2 linked regions of the Arabidopsis thaliana genome follow. The protein of the gene in region 1 interacts with the protein of each later gene in a pairwise test. Each region holds a gene or a part of one and is shown in the gene's direction. Other genes may lie near its edges.

Region 1 (6,209 bases):
TCAGTGTCTGGTTTAGTTCAGGAAGAAAGGTCCTTGTGGGTTTCTCAAGTCTCGGCCTCCAAGCTTGCAGATTTATCTTTTGTGTCGAGGATTTGTGTTCCTGTACCAAATGTTGATCTCCTAGCTTCTAATCCTAGCTGTAGTCTCGCTACTTCTGTTACTTCTCTGTCCGCTCTTCGTAGTGTTTATCAGTCTGCAGAGTTGGCTAAAGCATCGAAACCGGTTGCATTCACAATCGGTGCCTCACTTGTGGTTCCTGATATTTCCTACAGATGGCATTTACCTGAGCCTAGTGCAGTCGATATGTCTGGTTCTTCGAGTTGTGTGTCTGAAAAGAATAGAACTGTTGTGGTTTTGCTTGGATGGCTTGGATCAAAGCAGAAGCATCTGAAGAAATATGCTGATTGGTACACTTCAAAGGGTTACCATGTCATTACATTTACTCTTCCGATGAATGAGATTATGAGTTATCAAGTTGGAGGGAAAGCAGAGAAGAACATCGAGTCGCTGGTTAATCACTTGGCTGATTGGTTGGATGAAGAGCAAAAGAAAAATCTCGTCTTTCACACCTTCAGCAACACCGGGTGGTTAACGTGAGTTTAATATCTCTGTTTTTTTCATGTGCTTACATAGTTACATGGCGGTTTTACATTTTACTAAGCGAGTTTCTCATCTATGCAGATATGGAGCCATTTTGGAAAAGTTTCAGAAGCAAGATTCATCATTGATGGGAAGAGTTAAAGGTTGCATAGTGGACTCAGCTCCTGTTGCTGCTGCAGATCCTACGGTAAGCGATGATTCTTGCATTCATAGCCATGTTTATATGGTCATTTGGCTTGTGCTAAATCATAGGCTTGGATACCTGATTTGCTAGACGCTGATGGGTGCTATTCTTTTTATAGATTTCTGCACTATTCGCTTGAACTTTCTGGATACTAATTTGGCTTTGTTAAAACAGGTATGGGCATCAGGTTTCTCAGCTGCGTTCTTGAAGAAAAGCAGTGTAGCCACTAAAGGATCTGCGAGCTCATCATATGAGTCAAACGGTATAAACATCTCCCAGCCTAAACCCGCTGCAACAGAAACAGCTTTGCTTTTGGTTCTTGAAAAGTTCTTTGCGGTGATTCTAAATCTTCCCAAAGTAAACAGGTAACATACAATAAAACTCCGCGTTTCGTCACTCATTCTTTTACCCAAATCCTATGATTTCACACTAACAAATGCGGGCAATCATATCTCTTCACTCATTCTTGTCACCCATATCCTATGATTTCACACTAACAAATGCGTGCAATCATATTTTTAACAGGAGACTTGCCGATGTTCTTGACACATTATCAACAGCACAACCAAGTTGTCCACAGTTATACATTTACAGCTCTGCAGACAGAGTTATACCGGTGGAACAAGTTGAATCATTCATTGTAGAGCAGAGGAAAGCAGGACATGAGGTCCGTGCTTGCAACTTCATATCTTCACCTCATGTAGACCATTTCCGGAGTAACCCAGAACTGTATACAGCTGAGCTCAACCATTTCATGAACAACTTTGTCCTTTCTTGCTGCCACCATTCTTCATAGCGACTTCCACAAGTGTTGTTGTTGCTAACCATTTTTGGGGTCCTTTTAACTCTTATACAAGAAAGAGAAAAATAGTTACTGATTGATGATTCTTTTTGGTTTGGATTGGTTTATAGATTCAAATTCATTATTCCTTTGTAAATTGTTGGATATTGTACATTTAGGAGAATGAAGATTCAAGAAAGTGACGTCCTTGTCCTTTGTAGTGGAGATTTGGATCTTATGGTTGTCTTTTGTTATTTGTTCAAAGAGGGTTGTTAAGAACCCAATCATAAAGTTTTTGGCAATTCTCATAATTTTTAGAAGTATGAGGGATCACAATCGTATTTCTTATGAGACGCTGGTTCGTCAACGATTGCGTTTTGACAAACGCAAAAGTTTGATTTGCGTTGGAAGCGGCAGAGATCGATCTGGGATCTTTTTTTCTTTTTGCCGTATGTGTCATTTTGTGAAACTCGAACCTCTCATTCTCTCTTTCATCTCCTCCTCTTACGTAACCCTAACGAAGTCGAAGATTCTCTGGTAGATCTATCTCGATTCGATTCGATTCCTCTTTTTTCCCAGAAAAGTCGCTATTGAAATCGAACGAAAGTGTTGAAGATTTTACCAGTCAGAGGTATATATATATAGAGAGAGAGTTATGGATTTGGATCAATGGATTTCCAAGGTTAAAGATGGTCAGCATCTCTCCGAAGACGAGCTTCAGCTTCTCTGCGAATACGTACGCCTTCTTCTTCTTCTTCTTCTTACTTGATTTCTTCTCTTGGTCGATTAAGCTTCTTGTGCTCTTCTCTGCTTGGTTTGATCTGTATTTATATACCTTAGTGGAACGTGACTTCGATCTGGTCTGTAGTGATTTTAGGATTTTTCTTTCTTTTCAACTATGGAGGCATCAATTTTGTAGTTTAGATACCATTTTATGGTCTCCTTTCTCAGCGATTGATTTATAGATTTGCGAAGATGAATCATGGTGTTAACCAGAAGATGTTTATCATAATGTTATACAGGTGAAAGAGATTCTGATTGAGGAGTCAAACGTACAGCCTGTAAACAGTCCAGTCACCGTATGTGGTGATATCCATGGCCAGTTTCATGATCTTATGAAGCTTTTTCAGACCGGAGGTCATGTTCCCGACACCAATTACATTTTTATGGTACCGAGTTTTCTTTTGTGGTGTCTTGTATGACATATTGATATGAAATTATGAATACAATCATAATCTGGTGTGGGAAATTCGCAGGGGGACTTCGTGGATAGAGGTTACAACAGCCTTGAAGTCTTCACTATTCTTTTACTTCTTAAAGCTAGGTAAGGTGCTCATAAATGTTCTGGAGATTCCTGTTATCATTGAATCTTTGCCTTTAAGTTTTTTTTTGTTCGTGCTTAATACGAACTTATTGTTTATTAAGCAATTAATCTTGATAATTATTTATCTTTCTTTGGAAGAAATAGTCCCAGTAACGTATTGCATTCAAAATTAGTCCAAACGAGAATGATATTGTTTCTTTAGCATCTCATGTTTCTCTGTTCTTTGTATTCTAATATGTAGATATCCAGCCAATATTACACTTTTGCGCGGAAATCATGAAAGTAGGCAGCTAACGCAGGTATGTGTTATTCTGTTCCACTTATATCTATTATTCTGCTTTTCACGCTGTTCCTAGGAGGTAAGCAATGTTGATTATCTTCTCGTTGTTACAGCAGGGTTTTGAAAGTTCTGATTTTGTACTACATGTGGCAATGTCATGTCAGATGTAGACATCGATGTTAGCTAAGATGCATTTTATGTGAATCAAGTATTGGAAAGCTAATTTCAGAAGGTGCTTCATATAGTACCAGTCTCCTTTTTAGCATGTGTGTAATCCTTAGTGTTCTAGTTGATACATAGGTTTTTAAGGAAGAAAGTGTGGTGATAATTTTGTATTTGAATGCATTCCTGGCAAACCTTTACTAAGACTTAGTCTGCAATCATACCTCTTAAAGTGCAATTCAAATATGCATTTCGTGAATCTGCTGACTAGATGATCAAAATTATACATGGATTCTCGACATTGAACTCCTTTATAACACAGAACCATTTGATTTACTTTTTTAGGTGTATGGTTTCTATGACGAATGCCAGAGGAAGTATGGTAACGCTAATGCGTGGCGATATTGCACAGATGTTTTTGACTATCTTACCCTGTCAGCTATTATAGATGGCACAGTAAGTGATTTCTTAGCAACTTGGCATTGTTGATGAGAACACATATAGCTGTATGTTATACTAAAATAGTTTGCTTTGTCTAGGTTCTATGTGTTCACGGTGGCCTTTCCCCGGATGTCCGGACAATTGATCAGGTTAAACTCTGCTTTTATTGCTTGTGGCTTTCACCCGTCAATTATGCTTCTAGCTTGGCATGTTATTAAGGTCCTCCACTCACATAGATTTGCTGTGGGCTCTAGATAAGACTGATCGAGCGAAATTGCGAAATTCCTCATGAAGGGCCCTTTTGCGATCTTATGTGGAGTGATCCTGAAGATATTGAAACATGGGCGGTTAGTCCACGTGGAGCTGGTTGGCTTTTCGGATCCAGGGTTACCACTGAGGTATGTTTACTTTCTCAAAAGCTTGAATTGATACTGTAACTAAGAAATTAATTTCACATCTCTGATCTTTGGTTCTGGCTTCTTGTGCAGTTTAACCATATCAACAAGCTGGATCTAGTATGCCGCGCGCACCAACTTGTACAAGAAGGTCTTAAGTACATGTTCCAAGATAAAGGCCTTGTAACTGTGAGTGTCCTGCTTCTAATGAATTGATATTTTTTATTAGTGGGCGTTTTGAAACTCTGCTTAGTGATTGTTAATTTTGTTTTGTTTGTGAAGGTATGGTCTGCACCTAATTACTGTTACCGCTGTGGGAATGTCGCTTCTATATTGAGTTTCAATGACAACATGGTGAGCCTCTCTTAGTCTTTCCTAAATGAATACTCTAATCTTCTCTGTCAGCAAGAAGGGATTCTATTACTTCAGTGATTTTAATCATTTCTTTTAAGATTCTACTCTATCAAAATATGTACACTCTTGTTGATTTGCTATGTGCCTCTTTGAATTAATGGATCTAGGAAGATTATAGAAAGTAATTTAGAGAATTTAAATCAAGTAAGCCATGTGCAATGAGGTTTGAATATCTGTGTGAGCCATAGATTCTGTTTCTGCATTTGTAGTGGATTTTCATTGACCATAGATTCAAGCTGTCTGTGCTACTAGGATCCTCCTTCCTGCATGGGTTAGTGATGAAATCGATTGAAATGTTTGTATTACCAGGAAAGGGAAGTGAAGTTCTTCACAGAGACAGAAGAGAACAATCAAATGAGAGGGCCAAGGACTGGAGTTCCGTATTTCCTATGAAGAATCACACTTATTATATTTGCTGTGATGATGAAGCCATTGCTGCCATTGGCAATATGTTCAGTTCAATGTGGAAAAGGTTAATATATGATTATATATATTATCTACTGATGGGTTTCGCTTACTATCATTATTTTTGTCCTTTAGGTTACATTTCCCTTGTGAAAGTTACAAGTCAAACACTTTGGTAATAGTCTTAGTCATTTTGATTCTCTGCTCTCTTTTCTTTCCCCCAATCTTTCTTCTGTAATGTTATTTTTTTCATTGTTCACTTGTACTGTTTCCTCTGTTTTTGTTGTTGTTGTTGTGAAGATGACATTAATTCTAAAATAATCAAACATCGTTACAAATGGGACAGTATCGCAACAATAAATGAATACCTGTCGGTCTCGAGCTATTCAATCATTTCATTCGGCTTTTGGTGTGTTGCCTTTCAGATCTATGATACAGATTGTTGTCTCAAGTAATGGAGAGAGGGGTAGTCCTTACAATAAAAAAAAAAAGTTATTATATGCAGTCATGAATGTGGTAAAAAGAATTGCAATTTTTAGTTTGTAATTTTCAGTTAATTAATCTTCACTATATAACTACACTCCTATGAGTTGCTCAGTGAGTTGCATGCTTGTATGATTTAAAATTAATAGTAACTCTTTTTATTACAAAACAGTGAAACACTATGAGAAGTGGGGGAGTTCAGTTCTTGTTCTGTTTGCCGATGAACATCAATGTTGCTTGGTCATCTAATAGAGGGAAATCATAAAATATTAACCTGGTGGTCCTGGTCAATGGTTTTTTTAAAAGAGTCATTGTTTAAGTCTTTTTTTTTTTTTTTTAATGCTAATAAAAAGGTTTAATCCTCCATGCTGGAGAAGCGATCATCATCAACCGAAAGAGAGTAATAGAGACAAAATGGGTTCATCATCATCTCCATCCCCGAACGACGCCGTACTGGAATCAGCCCGACCTTTTCTCCGAGGAGAGCTTGAAAAGATCGACCCCAAACTCCCGTCGTTAATCGCCGTCCTCAAAAGCGTCGGTGCCGGCGAGTGTTGGCACAAACACGGAAGCTTCCTAGATCACTTAATCGATATCTACAAGATCCTCAAGCTATGGAAAGCTCCTGAATCCGTCTGTCTCTGTGGTCTATTCCACTCTGCTTACTCCAATTCCTATGTCAATTTAGCTATTTTCGATCCTTCCACTGGTCGTGACGTCGTCCGTGATCACGTCGGTGA
Region 2 (7,393 bases), on another chromosome or scaffold:
AAATCATAAAAAGCCGACTTGCTATAAAAGCAAACTTGTTGATGATGGTTCAAAATTTCGAAAAGCTTTTCAAATTTCTCTTCATATCGCGCGCTCAGTCAAAAAGCAGAGCCAAAGATGAAGAAACCGTATAAAGGAAAGTTGCCGACGGGAACTCCGTCTCTGGCAATGTCAACACTCGTCGTCGTTGCTTCCCTTCTCGCCGGAGCCTCCGTTGTCCACAACATCTACAAACCAGATCTCGTAAGCTTCACCTTCTCTTTCTGTACATATGTTAGGGTTCTCAAATGTATTAGGTTTGCTCACTTTCTTCGTTCTTGATAATGCCCATAAGCGTGATCGGTTTAAAACCATTCATTTCGTTCTCTGGCTCTGTGATCTCTCTTTTATTGTAATGCACATAAGGTGTTCGATGAATTGCCCATGAGAGATTTGTAATCTGATTGCTTTTTACTTTTGTGCAGAGTTTACCACCGTTGGAAAGTAGTGAAGTGGCCAAGAAGGATGATTCTGTAAACAAAGTTTGAATCTTTCAATAGTTTCATCCTGTTTTATCAGGCTACATTCACTTTGGTTGTTCTCTTTCAATTCATGAGTTAACAAAAAAACATGGATAAAGTTTAAAACTGAGATCACTTATTAAAGGCTTTTATTCTTCTTCCTCTTGTGAAGATGTAAAGAAGAACAAACTCTTTTTAGGTTTCTTGTTGGTCAATTCACCGTTTTTTTTAAAGAGATATAAGAAATCGCGATGATCGTGTAGATGACATAGAGACCAACGAATTGATGGAGTCTTTGCTACGGATTGTGGAAAACCATGTCTTCGATACATATTGGAACTTCAAAAGAGATTTTAGTGATAATCTAGTTAGTATCTCCATCGTTAGATCCATAGGTCCATTAGGCCCAAACGCCCAATCACGTGGCGTGATAAATACGTTAACAATTGCAATATGAAGAAAACACGACAATTAAATATGGAAGAGAGGCTAATTATTCATCGGTCCAATTGCCAATGTCTTTGACTGTAGTTAATAATAAATCATTAAGAGATTTTCGTTTAAAAACAAAAATACACCGTTTCAAGATTAAAAGATAAGTTAATTACAATTGTATTTTTCCTGATTAAAAATCAGATGTTTACAGGGAACCGCAGATCGCTCAGAAAGTGTAGTAAGATGCTCGCAAAAACCATGTGCATGTCCATCAACCTTCGCCGTCTCAATAGCTTACACAAAAATCGTTTTTGTTTTCTTATTAATATAAAACCTAATCTAAATTTACAAATTTGTTTTCTTATTAATATAAAATCTAATCTAAATTTACAAATTTGTATTACACGTACAAGTGGATCCAAGTATCTGACTCTACAGATATTTTGAATCTAACATTTGTGTAATTATAATTTATAATCTCTGAAGCATTTAATTTTACTTACAAATAATGTTAGACCACGAGACAGAAGGTAAACCAATCTTCCTTATCCCAAGATAAGATTCTTCAAATTAAATATAACGGCTTTTTGCAGAAGTAATAAAGATAGAAGGAATATCTAGTATCAACGGAAAAAAAGAAAAAATCTAGAGCACTTCGAAAAATTATGGACCAAAGAAGATTCAGACTGAAATTATTACTGTATTAGTATTTGTCCATTCACAAAATGCCGAGGAAGAAAAAAGGCATTTTGGTTTATATTTTGTTTATTTGATATTCAAATGTCCAACGATCCTCTCTAGCTAAGCTTAGCTATAATTCAATGTTTGAACACGAATCCCATTATTTTAACACAAACAACATTAATTAAATATCGTCTCAAGGAACTTCACTTCCTTGTCCATAAATACGTTATTTCACACCACATATACTCATCTATATCTCTATTTTTCTTCTTCTTCTCTCTCTCGCCGGAAAAAGTAAATCAAAATGATCACCGGCAAAGACATGTACGATGTTTTAGCGGCTATGGTGCCGCTATACGTTGCTATGATATTAGCCTATGGTTCGGTACGGTGGTGGGGGATATTCACACCGGACCAATGTTCCGGTATAAACCGGTTCGTTGCGGTTTTCGCGGTTCCTCTTCTCTCTTTCCATTTCATCTCCTCCAATGATCCTTATGCAATGAATTACCACTTCCTCGCTGCTGATTCTCTTCAGAAAGTCGTTATCCTCGCCGCACTCTTTCTTTGGCAGGCCCGTCTCTTTCAATAATCTCTCTATGCACATAATCTATCTTCATTAAGTGATGGTAGTCTACTAGTAATTGCTATGATGGTCAATTTTTACTCGAAAACATATTGGTTATCGAAAGCTTATAGTATAGTAACTATGTCATTTAACACGGGTAAATATTTTAGTTAACATTTTAGCTCTTTTGTAATATGTGTCTCTAAACACACACATTCTCATGTTTGTGTATATATTGTGATATTATTTTTTAGGCGTTTAGCCGCAGAGGAAGCCTAGAATGGATGATAACGCTCTTTTCACTATCAACACTGCCTAACACGTTGGTAATGGGAATCCCATTGCTTAGGGCGATGTACGGAGACTTCTCCGGTAACCTAATGGTGCAGATCGTGGTGCTTCAGAGCATCATATGGTATACATTAATGCTCTTCTTGTTTGAGTTCCGTGGGGCTAAGCTTCTCATCTCCGAGCAGTTCCCGGAGACGGCTGGTTCAATTACTTCCTTCAGAGTTGACTCTGATGTTATCTCTCTTAATGGCCGTGAACCCCTCCAGGTATGAATTTTTCACTGATGACCTTTTTCATATGTTTGTTCAAATTAACGGACCGGTTAACTCAAGTAAACTAGAAAATGGGTAGTTACTAGTTACGACATGACTACATGTCATTTTGGGATTCCTTTTTGCCTATGTAAATCTATAACAAATTTTGAGTTTTGTCTGAGTTCCTTTTTCAGAAGTCAAAAATAATCTTCAAAGTGACGTGTTACATTATTCACGCAGAATTTAATAATTAGTACAATATAAGAAATATCAAGTTATTAACTATAGTCTAGTTGAATTTTCATTCTTTTTGTACCGATTCGGTTATATCCGGTTTAAATCACATCGACTCGAAATTCATCACCTAAAAATATGGATTTATCTTTCATTAGACCGATGCGGAGATAGGAGACGACGGAAAGCTACACGTGGTGGTTCGAAGATCAAGTGCCGCCTCATCAATGATCTCTTCATTCAACAAATCTCACGGCGGAGGACTTAACTCCTCCATGATAACGCCGCGAGCTTCAAATCTCACCGGCGTAGAGATTTACTCCGTTCAATCGTCACGAGAGCCGACGCCGAGAGCTTCTAGCTTTAATCAGACAGATTTCTACGCAATGTTTAACGCAAGCAAAGCTCCAAGCCCTCGTCACGGTTACACTAATAGCTACGGCGGCGCTGGAGCTGGTCCAGGTGGAGATGTTTACTCACTTCAGTCTTCTAAAGGCGTGACGCCGAGAACGTCAAATTTTGATGAGGAAGTTATGAAGACGGCGAAGAAAGCAGGAAGAGGAGGCAGAAGTATGAGTGGGGAATTATACAACAATAATAGTGGTATGAATTTTTTAATATATATATATATATATATTTATTTTTTATTTATTTTTTTAAAAAAATATATTTTGCTTCTTTATAAATTTAAATAGATATAAGAATCGATTCAGATATTATTATTATTTTCCATCAGTCACCGGTGATTATAAGTGGGATATTATTAGGTTTAAAAAGGTTTAAAAGTTAAGTAAAGAGTTCATCAAATAATTTTGCGTAATTATTTTTTTCTTTTAACAAAATAATAATAATTTAGTATATCACTTCCAAAACTCTTAGGTTTTTAAACTGATTATAGTTTTGGAAAACAAAATATTAATTTTGTATTTTGAAATTTAAATGTGATTTTTTCATTATAATGTAATGTTTTAAAATAAAATTTTCTATAATTTATGGTCAGTTCCGTCGTACCCACCGCCGAACCCAATGTTCACGGGGTCAACGAGTGGAGCAAGTGGAGTCAAGAAAAAGGAAAGTGGTGGCGGAGGAAGCGGTGGCGGAGTAGGAGTAGGAGGACAAAACAAGGAGATGAACATGTTCGTGTGGAGTTCGAGTGCTTCTCCGGTGTCGGAAGCCAACGCGAAGAATGCTATGACCAGAGGTTCTTCCACCGATGTATCCACCGACCCTAAAGTTTCTATTCCTCCTCACGACAACCTCGCTACTAAAGGTTTATTAATCTCCAACTTATTTCATATTTTTTTTTATCATTACTTGCCACGCTTCTATTTTTTTTTTAACTTTTAGGAAAAATGTATAAAGCTCAATATCGGTTCTAAGTTTTTTTTATAGTTTTTTCAAAGTTTCAAAACTTATGAAAACTTTTAAACTAATTAAAGTAGATTTTTATTTGGTTCCGTACGGCTTTCTATAAGTTAGTTTTTTGGTCGAAGAAAGGTCATAATAAATTTAGTTTAGTATTTTCTGTGATATTTAATTATAATTATATTCATACTTGGTGATGACAGCGATGCAGAATCTGATAGAGAACATGTCACCGGGAAGAAAAGGGCATGTGGAAATGGACCAAGACGGTAATAACGGGGGAAAGTCACCTTACATGGGCAAAAAAGGTAGCGACGTGGAAGACGGCGGTCCCGGTCCTAGGAAACAGCAGATGCCGCCGGCGAGTGTGATGACGAGACTAATTCTGATAATGGTTTGGAGAAAACTCATTCGAAACCCTAACACTTACTCTAGTCTCTTTGGCCTTGCTTGGTCCCTTGTCTCTTTCAAGTAAGTACTAATAATAATGTCACAATCATATAACATAACAATATATTTGGGCAATTGCTTGATGTTGTTGATCATTTTATGGGACAGGTGGAATATAAAGATGCCAACGATAATGAGTGGATCGATTTCGATATTATCTGATGCTGGTCTTGGAATGGCTATGTTTAGTCTTGGTATAGTTCCCTTCATATATATATTTAGTTATAGTCTTTGGTGCTTTTTTTTTTGCTAATTATTGATACATATAGGTCTATTTATGGCATTGCAACCAAAGATTATTGCGTGCGGAAAATCAGTAGCAGGGTTTGCGATGGCCGTAAGGTTCTTGACTGGACCAGCCGTGATCGCAGCCACCTCAATAGCAATTGGTATTCGAGGTGATCTCCTCCATATCGCCATCGTTCAGGTGATTACTCTTTAGTCTTATATATATTTCAATCTAACTTACAGTTTGATGTTTTAGCTAGTGATGTTGGGTTTCTTTGAAAAATATAATTGATAAGAATATATATAATTGTATGTTTTGAAGGCTGCTCTTCCTCAAGGAATCGTTCCTTTTGTTTTCGCCAAAGAATATAACGTCCATCCTGATATTCTCAGCACTGCGTAAGTTATTTAAGTTATAAAATATTTAATTTTCATTCTTAAACTTCATTTTAATACTATATATAAGATATTAATTTGGTATTCAAACTATACAAAGTTACAGAGATCTCCTAAGCTAAAAACTTGATATTATTTTTCAGGGTTATATTCGGAATGCTGGTTGCTTTGCCTGTAACAGTACTCTACTACGTTCTTTTGGGGCTTTAAGTTATTATCAAAACGTATTTGCAAATAAAAGGCGATACGACCCAAAGGTGATTTTTTTTCAAACGAAAAAGAATAATTACAAGAACGAAAAAAGACTAATTCCAGGTCAGGCTTAGGTGTATGGGACCATGCAATGTCGCATTAATTAAATTATAGCATATGATAGTCGAAAATTTAGATAACTTTGTATAATTAATTATATGCACATGCATGTACGTGACTTTGTAGTTTTTGTTACATTTATTAAATTTTTGGGATGTGCAAGTACAATTATTTACTATTGATTAGTTTTTTCTATTTATCGATGGTCGTGAAGCATGTTATTAAATTACACTAATATTTCATCATATACTAGTCAAGTATTACTAGATCGCGCAGTCTGTTTAGATTAGATCTTGTGCTTTTCTAAATCTCCATACAATTCTTTATTTTGTTTTGGATCAAATGCACTAATACTTCCACATATAACCTTTTTATTTCATTTCTTTTGTCTTATATATTTATGTTTTTGTTTGTATGTAAAGTTAATTATGAACGTTATTTTTTTTGTTAAAAAATTATGAACGTAATATTCGGTTGAAGCTTGAAGGTAGTCGCATTTTAATTCGATGAGTAAAGAACAATCAAACTTATAATAGAATTTAATTTTCCTTTATTTTAGTATATACTTATCTGTCACCAATAAGATATCACTCGGACTATTTTTGGAGTGATACAAAGAATTTGCGTGGAGAAAGAAACATTTCAAATGAAAGCACTAGTCTAGACAATTGATTGTGTAGTAAGATAGTTGCTGATGATAAGTTTTGCGTTATAGACAAATTGTGCATATCTAACATGTGTGAATATCTTAACGAGTGATCAAACTTTTCAACCAAACTGTCCAAAGTTTTTATGAAATAGAAATTATTTTTCTTCTTTTTCCTTGCGTTTGATTAATTATGAGCTCCTCAAAACGTATCGGTGATCGGCGCTTGAATTTAAGTATGTAAATGTAATGTACTAGAAAAGATGGCTTGGCTCTGGAGGCGTTGACTGTGTAACGTGAAAACGATCACGTGGGGTATCAAAACGATGAGATATACGTTGGAACTCGCTCTTTGGTCGGAACGTAATTGAACGAACAACAACACATGAGAAATTCAATAACAATTCTTCTCTATATAGTTGTCCTGACCTCTGACTTATCTGACAATAGATCTTTTAATAGTTTACACGTAAAAATATTTATTATTCAATGAAGTGCGTAAGAGAAATAGCATATGTATACTAAGGGTAAAAGTATTTATACGTTTTGATGTTTTCAGAAGGTTTTGTGCATTGAGTAGGAGACAACATTTGCTCAGTGACAGCTCTTGTCTCTCTAGGCACCTTACTATTATAATGTCTCATCGTGAATCTTATCTTGTATAACAAATTAATGTTCATATTGTTTCAAGTACATTATAGCACATGTTTATAAACAAACTTGCATAAATACCTTAGAATTTTATCATTTTTGCTAATGCCAAAAATTATCAGTCTCTTACTAAAAGCGATCGAAAATGAATCAGCGTTATGAGCTTCTTTTTTGTTCCATATTGGATCAAATCATCAATTACTAATTAAAAGCAAAATGATACAAATCCTCAATACGTAAGACTAAAACCGGCCCATTTAACAAATTCAGCCCATAAGGCCTAAATCATTTCATGACATTTTGGTTTTGTTTTGGTCTAAAATCATTTTTAAGATTGTTAATTTTTTTGCTCTTCTTATAGTTTATGTTAATTATTATA

Evidence for each region.
Region 2: the proteins of FYPP3 (region 1) and EIR1 interact in a protein complementation assay, tested with the Arabidopsis thaliana proteins (one study listed by BioGRID).

The regions. Positions count from the first base shown.
Region 1 is NC_003074.8:6,959,788-6,965,996, forward strand, and holds FYPP3 (flower-specific, phytochrome-associated protein phosphatase 3), read left to right. Parts: upstream 1-1,948; 5' UTR 1,949-2,220; coding exon 2,221-2,301; intron 2,302-2,587; coding exon 2,588-2,734; intron 2,735-2,821; coding exon 2,822-2,889; intron 2,890-3,130; coding exon 3,131-3,188; intron 3,189-3,676; coding exon 3,677-3,787; intron 3,788-3,870; coding exon 3,871-3,921; intron 3,922-4,026; coding exon 4,027-4,170; intron 4,171-4,260; coding exon 4,261-4,356; intron 4,357-4,449; coding exon 4,450-4,521; intron 4,522-4,890; coding exon 4,891-4,974; 3' UTR 4,975-5,419; downstream 5,420-6,209. Other genes in the region: AT3G19970 (alpha/beta-Hydrolases superfamily protein), read left to right, coding at 1-593, 682-787, 959-1,149, 1,310-1,580; AT3G19990 (E3 ubiquitin-protein ligase), read left to right, coding at 5,809-6,209. UniProt on the Arabidopsis thaliana protein: Catalytic subunit of protein phosphatase 6 (PP6). Dephosphorylates phosphorylated phytochromes, with a preference toward Pfr forms.
Region 2 is NC_003076.8:23,098,842-23,106,234, forward strand, and holds EIR1 (Auxin efflux carrier family protein), read left to right. Parts: upstream 1-1,674; 5' UTR 1,675-1,923; coding exon 1,924-2,193; exon of another isoform or gene 2,194-2,344; intron 2,345-2,441; coding exon 2,442-2,744; intron 2,745-3,124; coding exon 3,125-3,569; intron 3,570-3,966; coding exon 3,967-4,236; intron 4,237-4,534; coding exon 4,535-4,802; intron 4,803-4,889; coding exon 4,890-4,975; intron 4,976-5,050; coding exon 5,051-5,208; intron 5,209-5,331; coding exon 5,332-5,408; intron 5,409-5,548; coding exon 5,549-5,615; 3' UTR 5,616-6,387; downstream 6,388-7,393. Other genes in the region: AT5G57080 (uncharacterized protein), read left to right, coding at 118-243, 465-527. UniProt on the Arabidopsis thaliana protein: Acts as a component of the auxin efflux carrier. Seems to be involved in the root-specific auxin transport, and mediates the root gravitropism. Its particular localization suggests a role in the translocation of auxin towards the elongation zone.